Linked DNA regions of Caenorhabditis elegans. The protein of the gene in region 2 interacts with the protein of the main gene of each other region in a pairwise test. Each region holds a gene or a part of one and is shown on either strand. Other genes may lie near its edges.

Region 1 (6,574 bases), on a different chromosome or scaffold from region 2:
CTGAAAAGGGGCAATTTTTCAGTGTTTACAGATCAATTTTGAGTCCTCTTACTGCAAAATTGCCCATTTTAGAGGAGTTTCAAAGTTGTGATTTTTTGCCAGAAATTGGCCATTTTTGCCACTTTTTAATAGTTTTTGACGGACTAAACCTAGATTTTCTGAATTCTACATATATAAATTACCCGTTTTCAACAAATTTAGACAACTTTTTATTTTTGCCCATTTTGATTTTTCAGCCATCTGTCCTTTTTTTTTATTTTGGGCAAAAAATAATTTTTCTAAAAATGTTCAAAACCACTATATACTATAAAAAAGGAAATTTTCAGTGTTTACAGATCAATTTTGAGTCCTCTAACTACAAAATTGCCCATTTTAGATGTGTTTCAAAGTTGTGAATTTTTGCCATAAATTGCTCATTTTTGCCACTTTCTAATGGTTTTTCATGGGTTAAACCTAGATTTTCTGAATTCAACATACATGAATTACCCGTTTTCAACAAATTTAGACAACTTTTTATTTTTGCCCAAATTTTTTTTCAGCCATCTAGTGTGCAAATACTCCGAGCTCGACGAAAAATCCGTCGTAAGTAATTACAAGCTGCTTCCAATGCCTTGCTCAATGTGAGCAAACCTGCACACACGCCCAGCTCTAATTAACGTATCTTGCCGATTATCCGGCAGCAGGTGTCCTCATTATGTTTTCCTATGGCTACCCCTACCTCGTCTCCATTTCCAATTCTCCGTTTACCCCCAAAATCTCTACAAAATGCACTACAAATCATGGATCGCGTGGATTTGTAAGCCATTTTTTCCCCTTTCGATTATCAATTTTTTGATCCCAAATTCTTTTGCAGATTCTACTTCTCATTCGTCTCACAAAAGTGCAAAAATCTGGCAATAGCTCAGAATATGAAAGGATCCAGTATAAACGTGATATTTGTCCCGAGAGTGGAACCGATTATCCACATTACTGTCAGATTAGCAGACGGAAGTGTTGCTTTTTTCTATGCTGATGAGCGACTTGATGAAGACGGAATCACTGAAAAACTTTCAAATACTTTCTCAATACGCTACCCAAATGGATTAAGTTCGACGTCTGTCTGAAAAATGGAAAACTCTAAAAATTGAATTAAAAGTGCTCATTAATCATTTCCAAGCATTATTTCATCTATCAAAGATTCAAAAGCTAAATCCCGGCGAGCCTAGATCGGAATCGATTTATCCAGCATTTGATGGGATTAAGATAGAAGTATTCGAATTATCTTTATGTAGACCCCTTCCCTACTTTGTCTGGAAACGAGAATTCGGAAATTTTCTAGATACTGTCCAGAAGATACATATCAAGTGCAGGGATACTTCTTATGACAGCAATTCTCACATGCGGAAGGTATTATTGGAAAATCACGATTGTGTAGAGTTCCTTAGAATGGAAACTTCGTTATTATGGATTACAAACTCCACTATTATAAAACTAAACTACCAAATTAAAGCCCATCTCTTAAATGAGTTCTTCAAACACTGGATTCATGGATCAAACCCAAGGATGAAACTTTTCGAGGCTCTCATTGAAACTAGACACTTGAAATTGAAAAAGTATATTCAAAAAGTATTCAGTGGTATCAAGTACAAAGGAAAATTGTCTTTCAAGCGAATCAATGGAGTTATTGAGAATCAAATATCTATTGAAGGTTTTGACGGAAAACTCGCAACAATTGACATAAACATCAATGTTCGGAGGATTTTAATGCAAATGTCTGTGCAGTTTTAATTTTGATACTATTGTAAGGATACCCACCCTTTTCACTTCACATTTTACATAAATAAATACTAATTTATTTGCCTGTAAATTCTCTCTGATAATTTACAGAAAGAACGGACGAAATCGGTCAAGGACAACGATTTCTACAGCGAGGACAATTCGTGTGGAGGAGAAACTCCAGTTCAAACCGCCGCCAAGCTGTCGTTGGTCGCATTGTCGCGTCGAGACCCGTCGTCGTTAAAGGCTGCGCCTTTAACCCGGAAATGCCTATATAAGGAGAGGAGGACGCTCATTTGTCATCATTTCTTAACTCTTTGACCCGTTACTTGTCGTTTTCCCTTTTCTCTCGTTTACTCTGTTTCGACGATGCAATTCGTCTGTTCCCTTTTACTTAATAAACCCTTATAAGATCGATCAGTGTGCGTGAGTGGCAGTTACATCCTATACCTTTATTCTATTAATAAAATAATTCTATTGATTTGATTTATTACCGATTAAACTCGTGATGAAATAAAATAAGAGTTGTATTGTATAAAGACATGGATAAACTAAATACATAATGTTGTACAAAAACAGTATTAAACATTCTTAGAACTATTATATTCTGACTATTTTTTGTTCAGATCGAAATTTACAGGCTTATCTTCTAGTCCGCCCTTTTTAAGACTTCACACAATTCAGGCCTATATTTCGCAAAATTCAGCAAAAAAACTGGCGTCATGGTGCATCGACTATCGATTTTTCGTAATTTTCAGCCATTTCTAACCCATTTTTCAGATATTTTCCCCTTTCTCCCAATATTTTATCTCATGTGCATCGAATCCATTGGTAAATGATCTCCTGATTAGCGCGCGCGAATTTCGATTTTTTTGCAAAAAAAGAGATCTACAATATTCAAAAAGTTCGAATTTAAAATATTCTTTACGATATTATGTCCTTTGAACTAATCAATAACTAGACAAAAAAAATCGATAATTAGTATCTAGGCGGCTTTTGTCTTGATCGTGAGCCCATGCATATCCTTAATCTGCTCCCGGAGAATGGAGGTGACCTGTTTGTGTTGAGCAACTTTCGATTTTCCCTTGAAACCGGCGGCTTCAACGACCACGTCGAACATTGATCCGCAGCCATCTGTAATATGGAGCTTGTAGTTTGTAGTGTATAGTTTGTAGTTTGTAGGGTATATTTTGGAGTTTGTAGTTAGTTTTGTATAGTTTGGAATTTATAGTGTACATTTTATAGTTTGTAGTGTTTAGCTTGTAGTTGGTCGTATACAATTTGTAGTTTGTAGTGTATAGATAGTAGTTTGTGGATATATTTTGTAGTTTGTAGTGTATGGTTTGTAGTTAGTGTTGTATAATTTGGAATTTATAGTGTACATTTTATAGTTTGTAGTGTATAGTTTATAGTTTGTAGTGTTTGGCTTGCAGTTTATATTTCGTAGTTTGTAGTTTGTAGTTTATAGTATACAGTAACTAACTTGTTTTTCATTATTTCTACCATTAATTTTGTGAGCGGAACAAAAAAATCATGAATGAATACCCCACGTATAGACTACAAACTACAAATATTAGTCTGATTATACTAGTTTATAGTATGTCTATTGTAGTTTGTAGTGTGATTATTGTAGTTTGTAGTGTATATTTTGTAGTCTGTAGTATGCCTATTGTAGTTTGTAGCGTACTCACTAGAAACATCGTGAACCTCGACACGAGTACATCCATCAATTCCCTCAGTGAGCAACTTGCTCATTTTCAGCTCGGCTTCTGACATTTTGTGCTCTCCACCACAACATGCCGAGTGACGCCTGATTGCTGAGGAGAGGAGGCCTGATCTCAGTGGGGTGGCAAGGCGGAGCATCTGAAATTTCGAGAAATGATAGCTTTTTTTTCGATTTTTTTCAGATTTGGAGAGAAAAAAAAACAAGAAATTTCACATTTAAACAAAAAATTTGTTATTTTTTCAAATTCTCGAGGTTTTTATAAATTCTGAAAAATGCCGAAAATTCGTAATTTTAGCTTTTTTAGTTTAAAAATTAGAAAAAAAATTGAAATTTTCGAAAAAAAATCAATAAATGTTCTATTATATATTATTATTATATATTTTATATATTATTAAATATTATTATATTATTATATACTATTATATATTATATAATAAATGTTACATTTGTTCTATTTTTCAAAAAAGTAATTAAATTTTTTTTTTTCGAAAAAATTTTCAAAAAATTCAAACTTTTTTAAAGATTTTCTAGAATTCAACTTCGACAAAAATTCGTAATATTTGAAAATTCCAAAAAATTACCAGAAAATGCTTTAAAAGTTAAAATATTTATCTAGTTAATTAGAAAGTATTCCTTTAGCGAAATATTCAAAAAAAACTTTTTTTAATCAAATTTTTCAAATTTTACATTCAAAAAGTCACCTGCAATGCATAATTTACATTACATGAAATTGAATTTTTTTGATTTTTTTCCCAATTATTAAGCTTTTAAAAATTAGCTTAAAAATACAGATTGTCAACATTTTTCAGAATTTTTTTGTTGAAAAAATGCGAATTTTCTCAAAAAAAAAAATCAGTTTCAAAATTGTGAAAAAAAAATTCTAAATGGTTTTTTTTTAAATTTAAGCTTCCGTGATTACTATAACATTTTCAAAAAATTGAGGAAAAAATTCAAAAAATGTTTTTAATTTTTCAAAAAAAAAAGCTCATCCTAAAAAACACCGTAATTAGCTAACTTTTTCAAGAAATTCAAATTTTTTTTCCAAAAAAAAAAAAAAAGGCAAATAGCATAAATTGATATCCTAAATGGACAACAGAAAATATAAAAATCAGAAAAAATTTTTCAAAAAAATACTTGTATTGCATTGTAAAAACGTCATTGCACAATCGAAAATTCGAAAAATAAAAGACCACGTAAAATACAAAAAATCGGGAAAATATCCAAAAAAATCAGTTAAAAAGTACAATTATCGTAGTGTAGCAATCTTTGGAATACTCCTCTCATCATGATAATCACTAACATATCCTAAACTCGAACCATCTTCACTTGTATCCCCTAATATTCGTTGTTTCTGTACTTGAATTGCTGCTTCGGATTCCGGAACAACTTTTTCATTTTTCACCAAATTCGGCAATTTTTCTTCACTCGTATTCATTCCACAATGCTTTTTTAGTGACCATTGCATTGCCCAAATCGATAGAGGACGCATGTAACCAATGGCTCGGTAGAATCTGAAATTCGGATATTTTAGGATTAATTTTTGGGATTTTTTAAAGAAAAAATGTTTGGAAATAAAAAAAAAATTCCAAAATTATTGTTTTTTTGGATATGAATTTTTTGTTTCTATTTTTAAAAATAAATTTCCATTTTTTGGAATTAGTTTTATGAATTTTTGCTTTTTTGAATATCCAAATTTTTCTGGAATCAAAAAAAAAAAAGTTTTAATGTTTTTTTTTAATTTTTTGTAAAGTTTCAAACTTTTTTTTTTGGGATTACGAGTATTTTTGGAAGTTTGAAAAAATAATTTTTGATTTTTTTGGATTTTTTTCTAATTTTTGAATTTTTTTTGGGATTTTTTTTAGAAATGTGTGGAAAATTTTTTTTTTTTTTTTTTGGAAAAATCTATTAAAAAAAACAAATTTCAGTTTTTTTTTTCAACAAATTTCTTTTCCTCACAATTTTTTCGATTTTCAGTTTTTCGAGTTCAAAATTCGGGAAATTTAAATTTATCGTTTAATGTTTTATAAAACGTATTATATGAACACTAAATATGCGTGTTGCACAACACATTTAACGCGCAAAAAATATCTCGTAGCGACAACTATAGTAATTCTTTAAAATGCTACTGTACTGCTTATGTGGATTTACGGTAATAATTTATTTCACGATCAAATATGACTTACGAAAACTCGAAAAAAAAATTCAATCCGAAAATCGAGCCCGTAAATCGACATTAAGAAGTTACTGTAGTTTTCGCTATGAGATATATATATATACGCATTCTCAGAATTTAGTGTTCCCGTAATCATATATACATATACATATACATATATACATATACATACATATACATATACATATACATATGCATATGCATATACATATACATATACATATACATATACAAATACATATATATATATATATATACATATAGGACTGCTCCATACTACAAACTAGATAGTTTCTTCTTGAATTTTCAACATCTCACTCACTTCGATTCATAAAGTGCTTCAGGCGTCTGATATTGTAGTCCAGTCTCCTCAAAACATGTCAGATAACTCCCCGACGCCGTATGAAACGCCTTTTCCACTTCTCCCTGTTGAATAAGTAACGATGCAACTGCATAAGTAACACCCGTCCACATTTCATCAGCCTGAATGTACTCCCGATCTACGACTCCTGACGGTTTCATTCCATTTACTGCACCCATTCGTCCGTTTCCAAATTTACACACATTCAATCGATAAATCGTATCCAACGCTGATCGGACCATATGATTCGGGAGAAGCTCGTCGGCTAGTTCAGGAGATACTGATTGAAGGAACCAATAACCACATAGTTGATCAGCCATCACTGTTTCTCTACTACGGGATCGCTCACAGAATCGGAAGTAGGTTCCTGTCCATAGAGTGTCGATGAATACCTTTTTCGCTTTTTCGAGAGTATTCCTGAAAAAAAAAATGATAAAGTAATGTATAAAAATCGAAATATTTTCCGATTTTCCGATTTTCTAAATTTTCGTTTAAAAACTTCATTCGCAAATGAAAGAAAAATTGCAAAAAAATTCACGTGTTGTCAGGTGTTGTCCCA
Region 2 (6,334 bases):
CAAGAAAATCCTCGAATTTCTCGAATTTCATCTCAAATTCAAGCTTTTATCTCGATTTTTCCCGATTTTCAGCCATTTTCCATCATTTTTCAGCCGAAAAACGTACACTCCATGTCTTCAACTCCTTTTTAATGGCCGCACGAGTCTCATTCGTCGTAATATCACCCTGCAGAGCGATACAGTTCTTGATTGGCTTGATCGGTGCCAAATCGACTCCTGAAAATGGATTTTTTTGGGTTTTTTGCCGGATTTTCGCTAAAAAACGCGAATTTTCAGTCTTACCAACGATTAAACTGGAGACTGGCATGAATTGAGACGCTACTTGCATCCATCCTCCCGGCGCTGCACAAAGATCGACCGTCGCACGGGATTTTTCCAAAAATTCGAATCTTTTGTTGAGTTGGACCAATTTGAACGCGGCACGTGATCGGTATCCTGGAAATTATCGATTTTTTTTTTGATTTTTCAATGAAAAATTCTTTTAAAAAACTCACCAGCTTCCTTGGCAAGCTTGTAATACTTATCACGACGCTGTTTTCCAATTTTAACCTTCTTTCCCATGTTTAGTTTGGAAGGTTTTGTGTGTTACCCTGAAAAAAGTGATGAAAATTGAAGATTTTAGTGAGAAAAACGACAAGAATCAACGGAAAACAAGATATTTGAGCCTAAAATGTTATTTTTTCGAAAAAAAAAGAAGTTACAGCACGGTTCCAAGGGGTTTTTGCACAGAAAACTGAAGTTTCAGGGGGAAAATTTTATTTCTTCAATTTAAAACTGTTTATTTTCATTTTTCATGCGAAAAAAACCGAGAAAATCCAGATTTTCGTCGAAAAATCGAACATTTTAGGCGAAAAAATAAATGCGCTAAACAACACGCACCGGCGGAATATCGGAGTGTCGTTAATTCTAATGCGCGGGAATTGGAATCGGAATATTCACAATTTTGCATTATAATCGGAAAATTTTGCTCAGCAAAGCTAGAAATTTGCTCAAATAAATTACGCGGAAAACGGGTAGCCTCGTTTTTATGTCTGAAATTCTTTAATTTCTTGGAAAAAATAACTATTTCTATTTTATAAAATAGACTTTAGCGAGGAATTTAAAATTTTTTTCAAATTTTTCAAAATAAAAAATGGGTGGATGCTTGAGAAAAGGAAAGAAGGGACCTAAGGGTAGCATTTTAATTTGAAAAATTAAGTTTTAAGCAAAATTTTCAGCTTTTTGAGCGAAATTTTGAGATTTTTGAGACAATTTCTTTTTAAGAGGAATTTCCAACGTTTAAAGCGGAATTTAGAGCTTTTCAAGCCAATTTCTAGCTTTTGAAGCCGAGTTTTAGCAGTTTAAGCGGAATTTTCAGCTTTTCGAGCCAATTTCCAGCTTATAAAGCCGAATTTTAGCAATTTAAGCGGAATTTTCAGCTTTGAAAGCGGAATTTTTGAGCGTTTTAAGTTAATTCCCAGCTTTTTTCAGAGAAATGTTGGATATTTTGAGCCAAATACCAGCTTTTTAAACGGAATTTTGAGCTTTTTGAGGTGATTTTTTAGCTTTTTGAGCAAATATCCAGCTTTATGCAAAATTTCACTGCTTTTGGCCGATTTCTAGCTTTTTACGCGAAAAATGCAACAACGAGAGGTTTAGCGTTCAGAAAAGACATTTTGAACGAAAAATCCTAGGAATTTGGCGGGAATTCAATCCTCAATTCAAGGGTATCCTGGTCATGACCGGGCATCTCTTGCTATTTGAGAAGGCGGACACGTGAGATCTTGTTTTTTTCCAAAGTTATGACATCATAATTAAGTCATTGGTTAATTATTTTCTGGAGAATATTCAAATTCTGAAACAAATAATTCCTCCGATGTGTTACGAATAAACTTTTCTCCCGAAGAACATATAGCAAGAATATCAAAAATCAACATTTATTTTGATTGAAGGTTAAAAATTGGACAACAGTCTACTTCTTTCCCTTCTTTCCTCCCTTCTCGCCAGAGGTGGCAGCGGCAGTGGCGGTGTCAACGACGAGGGTGTCGTGGCATCTTCCGCAGTAGTGTCTGTTGGCGTGTTGAGCCATGAAGACTCCTCCTCCGCATGATGGTTGTTGGCACTCCTTGCGAAGACGGGTGATCTTGCCGTTCTCGTCGATCTGGAAATATATGATAATAATGGCCAGTAAAATATGAAAATTGGTTATCAGAAAATATCTACTCTGCTAATCTGCCTAGAAGATTTGAAAAGATTCAGGAACTCTAAACATCATCACGGAACTCTCAGAGGTCCTGACACCATATCAAAAATTCTTCATCATCATCGTTTCAAACTTTTTAGGCAGAGCTGGAGCAAGATATTTCTCACGAATTCGAAACTCTGCTTACCTTGTAGTACTTAAGGACGGCGAGCTTGACCTTCTTTGGCTTTCTCTTGTTCTTCTTTGGGGTGGTGTAGACCTTCTTCTTTCTCTTCTTGGCTCCTCCGAGAAGCTCAAGGTTGACGTAGATGGTGGCCTCAGAGTCGATTCCGCAATCGCTATCCTCGAGCTGACGTCCTTAACAGGTAAAAATCAAGAATGTGTACGGCAGGGTCTGTCCTCAAAGCGACCCGACGAGTGTCAGGAAATCGCTTCTCGAGATTCTGCGTGAAACGAAACGAACCGGCGTAGCAGAGTCTCTGCTCTTCGGCTGGAATTCCCTCGGCGGCCTCGATTTTTTGCTTGATGCTCAAGACATCCTCGTTGGCGGCGACCTCGAGGAACAAGGTTCTGTGGAGTGTCTTAACGAAGACCATGCTTGACTGACCCTAGTTCTGCAAAAAACAACAATAAATTGAGAGAAAAAAGGGGATTCAATAGAGAAAAATTGGACAAGATAGGAAAATCGATCAATTTTAACAGCAAAAACCAAAAAAAAATCAGAAAATTTAGGCCAAAACGCGAGAATAAAATCGAAAAAGTGTTGAAAAATAGAGAAAGTCGTCCTAAAATCCCCCGCCTACCGTATAACCTGCACTTCTAAGTAGTGCGGTGGGGCGCGCTTGCATTAAAATTGCGCGGCTTAAAAAAAATTTCAAGCGAATTTCGAGGTTTTCGGATGTGAATTTTCAGATTTTCAGGTTTCAGAAGTGGAAAATGATGACAAAATGTTAAAAATTTGAAAATTGAACGAAAAAGCTCCAGTTTCAGGTGGTTTTTGGTGAAAAAATGGTAAAAATCGAGTGAAAACGTTCAAATTCCAGATGAAACTTCATTGAATTTTACAATTTCTCCACAAAAAGCCACTTGGATATTGAGATTTACAGTGGTTAAAAAGGTGAAAAACCTGAAAATGGAAAGATTTCCGAATGGTTTTTCACGGCAAATGTTTAAAATTCACTAAAAAATTCAAAATTCAAGCTAGAATTTGGGAATTTTTCAGAAAAAATGTGCCGAAAACCCTTGTTTTTTCAGTTATAATCTCAAAAATCTGGAAGAAAAAATGTTGTCCCTTGTTTTTCGGTTTTCCCCGCGTCGAGTCGTCTTGAATTGCTCCGAGCCACCCTCCCAGACAACGAGAAATGTAATATTCTCAGTGGTGTGCTGTGCTCCCCGTCGCTCGCGTGAGTGAGCTCGAATCGATTCGACGCCGTGCTCCGAATTCTCAATTAACTCATGCAATTGTTTATGGGTGCTCTCGAGCCTAATTGCTCTTTTTTTCCCGACTTTTGGCCGTTTCGGAAAGGAAAAAGAATGCTTTTTTTTTCAAATTTCCTTCTGAAATTCTCCAAAAAAATCCCCACTGAACACCAAATATATATGTGCAATTGTTATGGACAAATGGACGAATGTCACCCATTTCTTGGGCACCCTTGGGACTATTTCAAAGTGGCTTCTGAGCAAAAAACAATGGAATTTTCATGCATTTTATATTTGAAGAGTAGTTTAACATTGAGTTTAAGGTCTGGAAAGTTGAGAAATTCGTAAAAAATCAATAATTTACCTTTTTCCAGGAATTGTTCAAAGTTTTTGAAAATTCCGCCTGGCGATTTTTGTAGAATATTAAAAATGAAGTATATTGATAGTTGAAAATTTTTTGATAGCTCTCACCGATTTGGAGATACTGACGGTTAAAGATTTTCGCAGAGAAATAGTGTGGAAGGAGGAGAGACGCAGACAGCGCGTGCCGTCTGCGTCTCTCCCCCTCCCACACTCTCTAGCGCCTCTAACTTTGAGCGCTTGTATCTCAGTGAGAAGAGGAGATATCAAAAAGTTTCCAACTAACAAAATATAGGAAATTTTAAGTGCTATAATTCGCTAATTGAAAATTTTTTTGATCGGTGCTCTCCGCCGAGTTACAGTACATTTATTTTTCCACTTTTAACATTTTAAAGGGAGGCTCATTTATACAGAATGGTCTTGCCGCGCGTTTAGTCATCATATTAAGTAGTTTCTGTGTAAAAATATCGCGTAGATCACAATTAACTTGTGGAAAAGCTACAGAAATACGAAATAAGTGATTCATATACTGTTATCTACACAAATTTCACACAGAAACTGCTTAAAATGATGACTAAACGCGCGTCAAGACCATTCTGTATAAATGAGCCTCCCTTTAAAATGGTTGGAGTGGAAAAATATGCACTGTATCTCCGCGCAGAGAGAAGCTATCAAAAATTGTTAACTCACAAAATATAGGAAATTTTAAGGTCTACATTTTGTTAGTTAACAACTTTTTGATTGCTCTTTTCCACGCGGAGATACAAGCGCCCAAAGTAGATGAGGCAAGATAGTGTGGAAGGGGAGAGACGCAGGCCGCGCGCGCTGTCTGCGTCTCCCCTCCACCCACACTCTCTAGCCCCATTTTTTCAATCGCTTGTATCTCAGCGCAGAAAATAGCTATCGAAAAGTTTTCAACTAACAAAATATAGTAAATTTCGAAAGGAAACTGTACCTATTAGTCAACACAAACCCCGTAGACTTTTGAACTTTACTGCGTCTCTCATCTCTCTCTCTCTCTCTCTCTCTCTCTCTCTCTCTCTCTCTCTCTCTCTCTCTCTCCGTCGTTTTCTCAAGTGATATTTACTGGTCATCAAGAAGAAGGGGGGCAAGCAGTGATTACACTTCCTTCTTCTTCTTCAACTCTCTGCGTCTCTCCACTCTCTCGGTTTTTTCAAACAATTTCTCTTTTCTTGCCCGTTGCTTGATGTCATCTTATTGAAGGAGCTGCTTCTTGAGAAATCTTTCTTCATTTTTTTTCAATAAATGTGTCGAAACTTCTACCTGTTTGATAATAGAGGAATTTTTTATTTCAAAAAAATAGGATTCCAAAAAAAAATCTTGAAATTCTCTACATACATTTTGTTAATTTTCATAGTTGCAAAATTACAGCGATTTGAAATTAGAGAGACGAGAGAGTATTGAGTGGGGAGAGACGCAGACATCGAGGGAGCCTGCGTCTCTCCCCCTTCCACACTCTCTCACCCCACTAACTTTGAGCGCTTGTATCTCCAACTAACAAAATATAGGGAATTTCAAGGGCTTTAATTTGTTAGTTGACAATTTTATGATAGCTCTCATAGTTTTTGAGTTATACTTTGTTTAACATTGATGTGATATCTTTTCAGTTGTTGACGATTTCAGTTTGTTAATAATTCGTATTGATTTAGTTTCAGTTCAGACTGATAACAAATTATCTTCTGACTAGTTATGGCTTAACAAAGCTAAATTCTCCGTGAGAGAGTGTGGGAGGGGGAAAGACGCAGGCGCCCCTCCCCACCATTGAGCGCTTGTATCTCGGCGGGGAAAATAGCTATCAAAAAGTTTTCAACTGACAAATTGTAGGAAATTTTAAGGGAAATATATTTCTAGTTTACAAAATTTTCGCATCTCTTCTCCCAACACAAATATTCAATTTGTTTTTGAAATAGTAGTAGTAGTAAAAAGTTAACTCGATCAATCACATAATAACCCAATTTCCTAATTTCTCTGCGTGTCTAGTTAATTTCTAGTTATATTGTTTTTCTCTATAATTTCTCCAATTTCCCTGGCCTCCCCGACAGTTAGGTAGGAGTCAAGTACCTTTTGTCAAATATTTACCTTGCTAGGTCAGCTTTTTGTCAGACAAAAACACTAGGATTTCTTCATTTTGTGAGAAATTTCAAACTTTTTTGTTTTAACTTGCTAGGAAGTTCTTCATAGTTGGAAACTGTTGGCATATCTTCAAAACTAAGAGCGCTAGCAAAAATTTTTCTACTGAAAAATTGTAGCTCTCAAAATTTCCCATATTTTTGTAGTTTAAAATTTTTGAATACCTCTTCTCCCCGCGGAGATACACGCGCTCAAAGTTTATTAAGGCTAGAGACTGTAGGG

Evidence for each region.
Region 1: the proteins of rps-27A (region 2) and Y105E8A.11 interact in a two-hybrid assay, tested with the Caenorhabditis elegans proteins (one large-scale study listed by BioGRID).

The regions. Positions count from the first base shown.
Region 1 is NC_003279.8:14,429,837-14,436,410, reverse strand, and holds Y105E8A.11 (BolA-like protein 3), read right to left. Parts: upstream 3,621-6,574; 5' UTR 3,619-3,620; coding exon 3,447-3,618; intron 2,890-3,446; coding exon 2,741-2,889; 3' UTR 2,661-2,740; downstream 1-2,660. Other genes in the region: hpo-13 (Non-lysosomal glucosylceramidase), read right to left, coding at 4,728-4,992, 5,977-6,432.
Region 2 is NC_003281.10:3,064,779-3,071,112, reverse strand, and holds rps-27A (Ubiquitin-like protein 1), read right to left. Parts: upstream 2,797-6,334; 5' UTR 2,779-2,796; coding exon 2,646-2,778; intron 2,628-2,645; exon of another isoform or gene 2,551-2,627; intron 2,540-2,550; coding exon 2,370-2,539; intron 2,308-2,369; exon of another isoform or gene 2,230-2,307; intron 2,141-2,229; coding exon 1,952-2,140; 3' UTR 1,903-1,951; downstream 1-1,902. Other genes in the region: H06I04.3 (Putative rRNA methyltransferase), read right to left, coding at 107-216, 283-435, 495-561.